2 linked regions of the Daphnia pulex genome follow. The protein of the gene in region 1 binds, or shares a complex with, the protein of each later gene. Links are inferred from orthologs where the notes say so. Each region holds a gene or a part of one and is shown in the gene's direction. Other genes may lie near its edges.

The links.
Region 2: eukaryotic translation initiation factor 3 subunit A-like (region 1) and eukaryotic translation initiation factor 3 subunit B-like share a complex: the UniProt entries of both Drosophila melanogaster proteins name them as parts of the eukaryotic translation initiation factor 3 (eIF-3) complex. The link is inferred for Daphnia pulex from reciprocal best matches to the Drosophila melanogaster genes eIF3a and eIF3b.

Annotation. Positions count from the first base shown.
Region 1 is NC_060026.1:6,107,900-6,113,906, forward strand, and holds the start of eukaryotic translation initiation factor 3 subunit A-like, read left to right. Parts: upstream 1-2,373; 5' UTR 2,374-2,815; coding exon 2,816-2,864; intron 2,865-2,984; coding exon 2,985-3,184; intron 3,185-3,249; coding exon 3,250-3,398; intron 3,399-3,459; coding exon 3,460-3,694; intron 3,695-3,762; coding exon 3,763-4,671; intron 4,672-4,764; coding exon 4,765-4,911; intron 4,912-4,968; coding exon 4,969-5,238; intron 5,239-5,303; coding exon 5,304-5,405; intron 5,406-5,467; coding exon 5,468-5,837; intron 5,838-5,918; coding exon 5,919-6,007. Other genes in the region: zinc finger protein jing-like, read right to left, coding at 1,142-1,584. UniProt on the Drosophila melanogaster protein: RNA-binding component of the eukaryotic translation initiation factor 3 (eIF-3) complex, which is involved in protein synthesis of a specialized repertoire of mRNAs and, together with other initiation factors, stimulates binding of mRNA and methionyl-tRNAi to the 40S ribosome.
Region 2 is NC_060026.1:9,962,259-9,967,521, reverse strand, and holds eukaryotic translation initiation factor 3 subunit B-like, read left to right. Parts: upstream 1-1,426; 5' UTR 1,427-1,551; coding exon 1,552-1,684; intron 1,685-1,762; coding exon 1,763-1,958; intron 1,959-2,023; coding exon 2,024-2,330; intron 2,331-2,411; coding exon 2,412-2,807; intron 2,808-2,874; coding exon 2,875-3,122; intron 3,123-3,183; coding exon 3,184-3,428; intron 3,429-3,489; coding exon 3,490-3,659; intron 3,660-3,720; coding exon 3,721-3,924; intron 3,925-3,998; coding exon 3,999-4,107; intron 4,108-4,171; coding exon 4,172-4,269; 3' UTR 4,270-4,533; downstream 4,534-5,263. Other genes in the region: DNA-dependent protein kinase catalytic subunit-like, read right to left, coding at 1-108, 228-417, 488-666, 736-844. UniProt on the Drosophila melanogaster protein: RNA-binding component of the eukaryotic translation initiation factor 3 (eIF-3) complex, which is involved in protein synthesis of a specialized repertoire of mRNAs and, together with other initiation factors, stimulates binding of mRNA and methionyl-tRNAi to the 40S ribosome.

The DNA of each region.
Region 1 (6,007 bases):
TATGAAATTACAAAGACGTACACAAAATCATTAAAAAAATATCAATTTTCATGAACAAGCTTTCATTTTTCAATGGAATCAACATCGCACAATTCAACAATGACATTTTTGGTGGAAACAACGCCCCGGTGAAACAACGGAAATAACTGACATGAATATATCAAACTTGGCAAAATATGACCAACCGTGAAAAGAAAAGAATTGCAACCAAGCAAAATGAGACGAAAATTTATCCAAAACTAACCACTAAATTTGATTTCATCTTTTTTTTTAAGGTTTTTAACCAGTCTTTGTCCACATCGATAATGACCAAAACAATGATAAGCTGTTTAAATGAGTCTTTTTTGTCAGAACAAGATAAACTGTTTGTGTTTAAATATTTAAGCAAATTTACAAATAACTAATAATTTTTTTAACTATAATCGGCATGACTTTTACTGTTTGAATTCTGAAAGTATTGATTGAAGAATTGGTCGATTTAACGATTTCTGATCGAACTTATTGAGAGCAAGAGAATTCAAATCATGTACATTTAGCAATGAAGAGAGATTATCTTTAATCCATTATTATTCAATTACATTGTGTATACTTAAGATTTTATAGGAATGTTACTAGTGAATAATATTAGCTGTGCCATACAGAATGCCAAATTTTATCATGCAATGATTCGAATTCAGTTCAGACACAAATGTCTACGTTAATATAGCCGAATTAATAAGAGGCGAAGCATTATTTTGGTTTGGGGCAGCGGGCATCTTAAACACGATAGCATTTTGCAAACGCGACAAAAAAAGAGTAAAAGAATCAGAAATAGAGGATGCTAAGAACAAAAGTTCCCCAGACAAACACCCTAACAAGCTAAAGACAAATCAATTCTCCAAGTATGGCATTCTATTCAAGATCAAACATTGGAACTAGTGGAATGCGAATGTGACGCTAACCATAAAAAACGAATTAAAACGAAAATAGCTAATATTTTAAGAAAATGATGAAAAAAATTTACCAAATTTTCATTAACACTATATTGCACAGAATTGGGTACAATGTTGTAATTACAGAATTCATCTTCCAGTTATTGCAAAGAGAATTATTTCATTTGTGTTATTGTTACTTTCATTAATTATCTTTTAGATTTACTGACCTGTCTGAACTTTCTGAACTGTCGTATCTATCTGAGCGCCGACGTTTCTTTTCATCATTGACGAGAGCCGATGTTATGAGTGACCGACGTTGTTGACCATCAAAATGTTCGTTAACAGACATTTCTCGAGTTTCACCACCACTAGTCAGTCGGATTGCTTCATACGCCCGTGAATTGCTTCTAGCCTCATCGGCCATCTTACTCTTTTTCTTCTTGTCAGAATCCGCTGTTTTCTTTGTTGTAGAGGCCGCTTGGTTGTCTAACGGCACGTTGCCCGTTGCCACACCATCCATTATTCGACTGGGTGACGATGGATGCAAGCTGCCACAAGCAGGGGTTTTCACGTTAGTAGTAGAAGAACTATCGTTTACATCGTTGTCTTTAACTTTGGATTGATACGAAAGAGTCACAATCTTTGCTGATTCCAACGCTGAATCTGCCATCTTGAATGACGCTAGGAAAAATCCTCTACCACGACTACACAAACCAGTCCCTATTTGACACTTCAGACTACACACACACACACACACACGCGATTTAAGGGTACCTCGACTATCCACAATGCCCACCCCACACAGAGAAAAAACTCCCAGCGTAGAGCACTCTAGCGGTCGAAAAGCGAATATTTTTAATATCTCGTTTCGTTCCTAACTTTAAATTGATTTAGTGTAAAGAGGAATAAGAAAAAAAACTTTGTGTGTCCATAAATTTTGCATTTTTTTATTAAGTAACAAAAATAACAAAATACTATATTGCTGTGTTTGAGTTTCCTGCAACTTCAAGCGACTTCAAGGCATCTGAGAAACAGGACTCCTGGTGTTATGTTGATAATTCCTCATAGAGGGCCTTGCTATCTTCCGGCGCTACTGTCGGAAAAGTTTTCAAGTATTTCCAATTGTTGATGAATTGCCTAAATATTGAAAGATTGCAATCATTATGTAAATAGAAAAGAATCATACAGAATTACAGATCTTATAAAAACAAACTGACCGTTGAATGCGTCCAGACCTGTTCTGTATCTGTAATCTGTATCCATTGTTTTTCAATTGGTCTACTATATTTTGATGGCCTTAAAGTTCTCAGTACACACCAGGGTTGCACGCATCTATTTTTTTACACTCGACCAAGTATTTTACATGTCTGGAATAATGGGACATTTTGCCAGAACCTGCCAGAACAAACCTGGTAAATTTGTTAACAAGAAAAACAAACAACCTAAGAAAAAACGCACAAGTTTTTTTCCTGTTTGGGGATGAAAATTAATGAAGATTAGAAAGAGAGCCCGACCATCTTTAATGTGAAAACATCCAAATATAAAACAAAAGGGTATTCTAAGGTGCAACATCATGGGTAGTGGTGGGCATCGACATTCGCAATTCGTAACAAGAAGCAAATATGTTACTAATTGCTGCTAATTGTGGAAAAAGTTGTTGAGAATTGTAAAATGGCAACGCAGAATAACCTAGGGACGATTTCTATCAAACACATTGCAGGGCCATGCGCTTTGTGGCCCGTAGCTGAAGTCAGCTTGAATAGTTAACCAGTTAACCAAACCCAACCACAGTTGTCTAAAAACTTGGACGGCCATTTTCTTGCCCCAGCCACGTTGCTTGAGCAATTGCCAGCGAAGAGAAGCGTTCTGATTGCTGATCGACGTGTTATGAGAATATAAAAATGTCGCGTTTCTATCAACGACCTGAAAATGCACTCAAAAGAGCAAATGGTCTGTATTTTGTTATTCACGAGTACTTTACTAATTACTACTCAAGTTGATTTCTTAAATGTTGTGTTCACCGGTTTATATCGCTCGCTTATTGACAAAATGCTGTTACTTCTGTTACAGAGTTCATTGAAGTGGGGAAACCTATTCGAGCCTTGGATGCCCTAGCTGAAGTTATTAAGAGCAAGAAATATCGGTCAACAACTTATTCAGAAAAAGTGCTAGAACCCATAATGATCAAATACTTGGAACTTTGTGTGGATTTGAAAAAGGCGTACATGGCTAAGGAAGGCTTGTTCCAATACCGTAACATGTGTCAATCTGTAAGGATTAACTTGTTTCATGTTTTCCTTCTAACAAACTCATGATGATTGTTGTTTATTTACAGGTAAATGTTGCATCATTAGAAAATGTTGTACGATTCTACCTTAATTTAGCTGAGGAAAAAACAGAAGCAGCACGTCAAGAATCCCATCAAGCTGTTGTGGATATTGATGATCTGGACAATGTTGCTACTCCTGAAAGTATACTTCTGAGGTAGTCAATTCATTGCATTTTTTTCTGGTTGATTATGTTATCATGATTTCTTTGTGCTCAGTGCTGTCAGTGGAGAAGATGCCCAAGACAGGTCTGACCGTGTGATTTTGACTCCATGGGTCAAATTTCTTTGGGAGTCATACAGACAGTGTTTAGAGTTGCTTCGAACTAATTCAAGGGTTGAGAAACTGTACCATGATACTGCTCAACATGCCTTCAAGTTTTGTCTGAAGTATGCTCGGAAAACCGAGTTTCGTAAGCTCTGCGAGAATCTAAGGTCTCATCTTGCTTTGATGGTAAGAAAATTATTTTTTAAATTATTATTTGTTTAGAAATGTGTTAAAAGACAATATTTATATCATAGGTGAAAGGAACCCCATCTGTAACTGCTGTTAATTTGAGTAATCCTGAGACTCAACAAATGAATTTGGAAACCAGACTCTTGCAACTTGATTTCGCCATTCAAATGGAGTTGTGGCAAGAAGCATATAAAGCCATTGAAGACATTCACGGATTAATGATATTGGCTAAGAAAATGCCCCGTCCTCAACAAATGGCTCAATACTATCAGAAAATTGCCCTCGTTTTCGGAAAGTCTGGAAATCATTTGTTCCACGCTGCAGCTCTGTTTCGGCTTTTCCAACTGTCACGGGACTTGAAAAAAAATATTACGACTGAAGAACTTCAAAAACTTGGATCGCGCGTACTTGTTGCAACTTTAGCAGTACCATTACCCTCTGCACACCCTGAATTTGATCGTTTCATTGAAACCGAGAAAAGTGCTATGGAAAAAACGCAAAAACTAGCTACTCTTCTTCATTTGAATCAGCCTCCTACACGTAATGGATTGATTAAAGATTTGGTTCGCCTTGGTGTGGTAGCTACTGCAATGCCTCAGTTGCAGCAGTTGTATCATTTCTTGGAGGTAGAGTTCGACCCATTACATTTATGTAACAAAGTCAAGAACATTCTAGCGTTTATGGCCGAAGTCGAAGAGACATCTTATTTGAACCAATATATTCATGCCTTGGAAGAAATCACGCTTACCAGATTGGTAAAGCAAATAGCCCAGCTCTACTCGACTATCCGATTCGAACGTTTGGTGCAATTGGCTCCCTTTGCATCTCCATTTGACTTGGAACGCATTGTTGTTAATGCAGTCCGTCATACCGATATGCAAATAAGGATTGATCACCGTAACAATTGTCTTCACTTCGGCACTGAATTATTTGAAGCTCAACGCGAAGATTTACCAGAAGGACCGACTCTACAGGTAGAAATGTTAAAAAGTCATGACCAATGAAATGTTAGCTTTATCTTTTTTTTGTGTTTTTTTTAATTCTTTCTGATTTTATAACTTTTCTAGGCTATGCCTTCTGAACAGATACGTACGCATTTGATTACAATGTACTGCGTTCTCAACAAAGCGACAATTGCTGTTGTTGGTAATGCTCCTACTAAAGAAGAAAGACAGTTGAAAGTCCAGATCGCTGCACTTTATCATCAAAATAAAGTAATTATAACTCCATTCGTTACGTTGTTAGCAATTTGTTTAATGTGATTATTTTAGGCTAGAGACCACCACCAACTTCTTAGCCGTCAAAAGATTATTGAAGATCGCAAGGAATACCTTGAAAAATTGAATACTGAACGTGAAGAAGAAGAAGGTCGTCGTCAGGAGGAGCTGATAAGGCAGCAGTTGCTAGCAGAACAACGCCGTCTTGAAGCTGAGCGACAAGAACGAGAGAGGCTTCGTCAAGAAGCAGAACTTCGCCAAGTTCAAGCAAGGCATCTCAAAGAGAAGGTTGCTCAGTTTAGCCAAACAGCAATTGGGCAAAAAGTAATTCAACTTGCTTACCACCTGCTATGTGACGACATATTTTCATTTCATTATCTTTTTTGTAGGTTATTAAAAAAATGGAAGATGAAGATATATCAAAATTAGATCCAGACTTGATAATGGCGCGCCAATTGGAAGAATTGGAAAAAGAAAGAAAGGAATTACAAGTATGACATCTATTAATTAACCGTATTCGACACTTAAATGTTTATTGGTGGGTCTTCTGCAGACTAAGTTGAGGAGCCAGGAAAAAAAAATTGATCACTTGGAACGCGCCAAACGTATTGAAGAGATTCCTCTTTTGGAGAAATATCTAGCTGAACGTAAGGTCCAAGATAAATTGTTATGGAAACAGCAAGAAGAAGAAAGAATTGCCCAACTTCAAGAAGAACGCAAAGTGGCAATGTTACATCGTGACCGTTTGATGCGTATGCGAGTCGACAAAGAAAAGTTTATAGATAACTTGAAATCGGCTCGTAGAAGCGTTTTTAAAGAGAAATTGGCTGAATTTGAAACCATGTATGATACGGTGAGATCTGACCGTTTAAAACAACGCCGAGAACAGAGACGGGAACAGCGGCGCATTCAATGGATTAAAGGTTTGCATCTTTAAATTCGTTTCTTATAAAACAAAACTAAATCACATTGATAAATTAACAAACAAATCATTGCGGTATTAGAAAAAGAAGAAGCGGAACAAAGAAAGCGTGATGAAGAATTGAAAAGACAGAGAGAAGAAGCTGAGCGCATTGAACAAGAACGCCGCCAG
Region 2 (5,263 bases), about 3.9 Mb from region 1:
TTTCAAGTTCATAAAGGAGTTGGTTAATGATGCGACTGGCCTTTTCCTTCAGTGTACTAGGAAAGTACTGGGCCAGTCTGCCTAGGAGTACTAGGAAATTCATTTTCGCTAAAGTAAAACATAAATATTATAAATAACCATAGAAATACATATCTATGCATACACAGTAATAATACAATCTGCATAACAAACAGGGTAATTATACAATAGTCTTTTTAATTAATCACCTTTGCTTGAACTATCATCAGAAGATGTAGCCATTTTTTCAAAAAGCATATTAGAAAGGGCTGGCAAATTCAGTTCTTCTAATATTTCTGTTGGTGAAGTTTGAGCAGTAATAACAACTTGGCAAAGAACAAAATAACAAGCTCCTCGTATCTTAGAATTTTTGGAGTTCATGTACATCAATGCTAAATTCTTAAGGTAAATGAAAGTTATACTATTAGGTTTTTACACATAGCTAGGTAATATTAATTATTTTCCATACTTTAATAACCACTAAATGGTTGCTCATGGATTCTCCAAATTTTTCCAGTAAATCACCCAAAATTGACAGGGCACAATTTATTATTTCTGCAAAGTTGTCATCCTTTTGAGAATCTCTGAACTTGGACAACAAGGAAATTAATCCAATTTCTTTGTTTAGTAAAGCCGAGACAACAGAATCTTTAGAAAAAATACAATGTAAATGAATTGATTAACATGTTTTTGATGGGACCAATATTTGAAACCTACTGTCTTTGGTTTTGGATACAACATCTTTAATATCCTTGATTTGCTCCAGCATATCGCTGCACGTTCCAGAATGCATCTGAAATAGATAACCTTCCAATACGCTGTCCATTTTATATTCCTCGATGTTACCGACAACCGGACACTTTTAAAAGGCCAACTTCTTCTCGATTATTCGCAATTTTTACGACTTTAAAACTTTAATCATACATATTTAAATGTTAAGACAAGTTTTCAATTGTAGTGGTTCTTCAAAATTTTGCGATCAACGTTAACTCACGTAGGTTATAGGCCTAAGTGATGTTTTCATCCCTCCCGGGTTATGATGATTCGGCTGCTAGAATTGTGCTTTTGCGTAGGCATATTTGCCATGACTGATAGTTAGGCGTAATACATATTTGTAAAATATTCGCTATCATGGTTTTAAAATATCATTACGTTACTTTAAAAATATTTAAAAAAATTATTACCAACTCATTCCTCAAATGGGTATAAGGATTCAACTTTTTTGGAAATGAATAAATGTAGGCTATTTTCTGAAAACAAAAAAAAATCCAATGTATGATTATAATGCGAATAAAAATCAAGAAAAAATAATAATAATAAAAAATCTAAATTATTTTCCCTTCAGAAGATCCCGTTCTAGCTGACAGGCTAGGCTAGTCACCAAGTTACCTATGGTGTTTGGTGAATGGTGATTGCCTGATTGGTGGATGGTGGTTGCCTTGGCCTTCTCGATGGTAGTATTATTTGTTGAAATCTGGCACAGGCTTCCGCCATTAAAGACTCGTGTCCGGTGTGCAGTGCTTGTTTTTCATCATGGCTCGACGAAAAGAAAATGATCGAGCTCAGCAAAATAACGATGACTCGGATTCTAACCCAAACGATGAATTAGAAGACGAGCCCAACTTCGATGATCCGGAAGGTTATGAGGACGATATTTCTGAAGAAGGTACCGTTTGTAACTTACCTTTTGCCATATGGCTTTCCTGAGCATGCCGGCATTGAATCTTGCTAACTGTCAATGTAGATCTTATAGGTGACCTCATCAGGCAGCGTCCGAAAGAAACCGACGGAGTCGAATCAATTGTTGTTATTGACGGTGTTCCTCAGGTTGGTACTGAGAGGATAGAAAAACTTCAAAATGTCCTGAGAAAACTATTCCAAAAGTTTGGAAAAATAACTAATGAATATTATCCTCTTAATGCTGATGGATCAACTAAAGGGTAATTTATTAGTTTTTTTTTTAACTTTTGTGTCAGCCCAATTTTAACATAATATACTTTTGAAGCCATGTTTTCATAGAGTACTCAAATGCCAATGAAGCATTGGAAGTTCTTAAAGGAACTAATGGTTACAAGTTCGACAAAAATCACACCTTCACTGTGAACTTACTTACTGACTTCGAAAAATATAATGACATTCTTGATAAGTGGGAAAATCCAATTCCTCAGCCGTTTAAGGAGCAAGGATGCCTTCAATACTATCTTCTTGATCAAGACGCTTGTGACCAATTCTCAGTTGTGTATGAGCAGGGAGACAAAGTTGCTGTTTATTTGAACACTCAACCTGAACCCTCTCTGCTGGAAGAAAGACCTGTGAGTCACTTCACCTTTATTATTATTATTATTTTTTTTTTTCATATTAAAATTTTATCTGACCAATAATTATCTTCACAGAGATGGACTGAGACTCTAGTGCGGTGGTCACCTCTTGGCACCTATCTAGCCACTTTCCATGCAAAGGGTATAGCTCTTTGGGGTGGTGAAAAGTTTCAACAAATTGTGCGCTTCAGTCATCCAGGAGTGCAATTCATTGACTTCTCACCATGTGAGAAGTATTTAGTATCTTTTAGTCCACTGGCTGATTCAAGAGCAACTGATGAACCACAAGCCATCATCATTTGGGACGTGTTGAGCGGTCTTAAGCGACGAGCTTTTAATGCCGATAAATCTCAAGCCCTGCCCATTTTTAAGTGGTCGCATGATGACAAGTATTTCGCTAGGATGGGAATCGACATGCTTTCTGTTTATGAAACCCCATCATTTGGCCTTTTAGACAAGAAGTCGATCAAAGTAACGTACACGATTTACAAAATCTTCTAATAACCATTTCCTAACATGCACTCTTACATTTTGATAGGTTCAAGGAATTCGAGATTTTGCCTGGAGCCCAACAGACAATACGATTGCTTATTGGGTCGGAGAGGAGAAAGATACTCCTGCTCGCGTCACACTTCTTGAGTTGCCAAGTCGCAATGAAGTGCGAGTCAAAAATTTGTTTAGCGTTGCCGACTGTAAAATGTATTGGCAAAAATCAGGTGACTATTTGTGTGTGAAAGTCGACCGCTATGCCAAATTAAGGAAAGATAAGTCCGATATCAAATACAGGTAATGAGATGCCACTCCTTCAATTAATAGATATAAAAGCTAATTTTCCCCCCTTTGATAGCGGTATCTACTACAATTTGGAAGTTTTCCACATGCGAGAAAAACAAATTCCAGTCGACTCGGTAGAAATCAAGGAAACCATTCAAGCTTTTGCGTGGGAGCCAGTTGGTACTAAGTTTGCCGTCATCCACGGTGAGCCACCGAGTACTTCTGTTTCTTTCTTCGAAGTTAAAACTGGACAAACGCCTACGATGGTTAAAAAATACGAACGTAAACCTTGCAACCAGTTGTACTGGGCCCCTTCTGGTAAGAAAACATTAAATTTAATGTTAAAATTCTAAAATCCTTACTATACTTTATCGAACAGGCCAGTTCATTGTGTTAGCCGGCCTACGTGCCATGTCTGGCACATTGGAATTTGTCGACACCCATGATTTTACCGTCATGAATACGGGCGAACACTTCATGGCTACTGATGTGGAGTGGGATCCAACCGGTCGGTATGTCGCAACTGCTGTTTCCTGGTGGGGTCACAAGGTAACAAAAATCAAGCAATGTATTCATTTTTGACAATGTTTGATCTCTTGTACTTTGACAGGTCGATAATGCCTACTGGTTGTGGTCCTTCCAAGGACGCATTCTCAAACGCGTAGCACTAGACAAATTCTGTCAGCTGCAATGGAGACCTCGACCACCTTCATTACTTCCAGCCCAACAAATAAAGGACATTAAGAAGTCTTTGAAGAAATTTAGTGCCCAATTCGAAGTGAAGGATCGATTGAAAATGACTAAAGCTTCCAAAGTAAATATTTTTTGAATGTGTAATTTTTGGCGAAAGTATTTTCTAAAAATCTGACATTTTCAAACTTCACCCAGGAATTGGTAGAAAAACGCCGCAAACTGATGCAAGAATATGAAGACTTGCGTAAGCAGAAGCAAGAGGACTATGACGCTCAACGTCGCCGTCGTATCGAATTGCGCAACAGTAAGTTCTTAAACCTAGTTAATAAGTAAGCTTATCAGGATTTAACTCACAAATGAATTCACAGACGTGGATACGGATGAAACTGAAGGCCGTGGAGGGGAATTAGAAGAGGAGACAGTCGAGTTTTTCATTAAAGAGGAGACGACATTCATCGACGAGTAATTGCCAAGACTGTAAACAATCACCACATCTTGAGGCGTGCTGCTTATTCAGTGAAAGGCAGCACATCTCGAGGTTTTTGTCAGATATTAATATCCGACAAATCCAACATCAGAAAATGAAGACAAATATAATTGTGTGTCTCATCGATTGGTTATGGCTGTTTGCGTCTCTCTTTGGTTTCAACTATCATGTACCCTTTAGATTATCAAAAATACATTTTGATTGCCTCGTCGCAACTGAAGTTGAACGAGAAGTAAAAAGGAATATATTGTACATGTTTCTGTTTGGGAAAAATTTACCGTTAACATTCGTTGATCAATAAGTCTGCAAATTTTTCTATAATGTTAGTCTTAAACTCTTAACAGAGATATACTCTTTCTTATAGTGCCCGAGGGTACTGTAATCGAAACATGGAGTTCGATCATTTTGACAGCAGAGTAATGAAAGACTGGAAGTACTTAAATTTTCCATGGCTTGAATTAGTTAGCATTTCGGAATTTATGGGTTATAGTGGGAAATGGAATTGAAGTCTGAAGGAAATGACGGATTTATAGAATGTTGGAAACTGGAATGGATTGGAAAATTGGAAAAACAAAAATATTATTTTTACTACTACATTTTTTTCTGGTGCGTGCGGCAACGTTGTCTCACATTATGACACGAAGTTGGGTGTGAAGTGGTGTGAAGAAGAAGGCGAAGTTTTCATTTCGATCAGTTTTGTCAGACATGGTAATGGTAAAATCTATTGCACTCCGGAGTCCGGAGCGCTCTAGTGTCAAAAGTGGCTATTGCACTCCGGAGTCCGGAGTCCTCTAGCGTCAAAAGTGGCTATTGCACTCCGGAAAGGAAATATGTAGTACTTTCATTTGGCGACCGATGGCATTCTGTTTCTGTGTTTTGAAATTTGAATGGTTTAGATTTGAATTATTTGGAAATTCAAATAAAATGTATTTATAACAATCAAATATATTTGAATCTCACTAATAAATAAAAA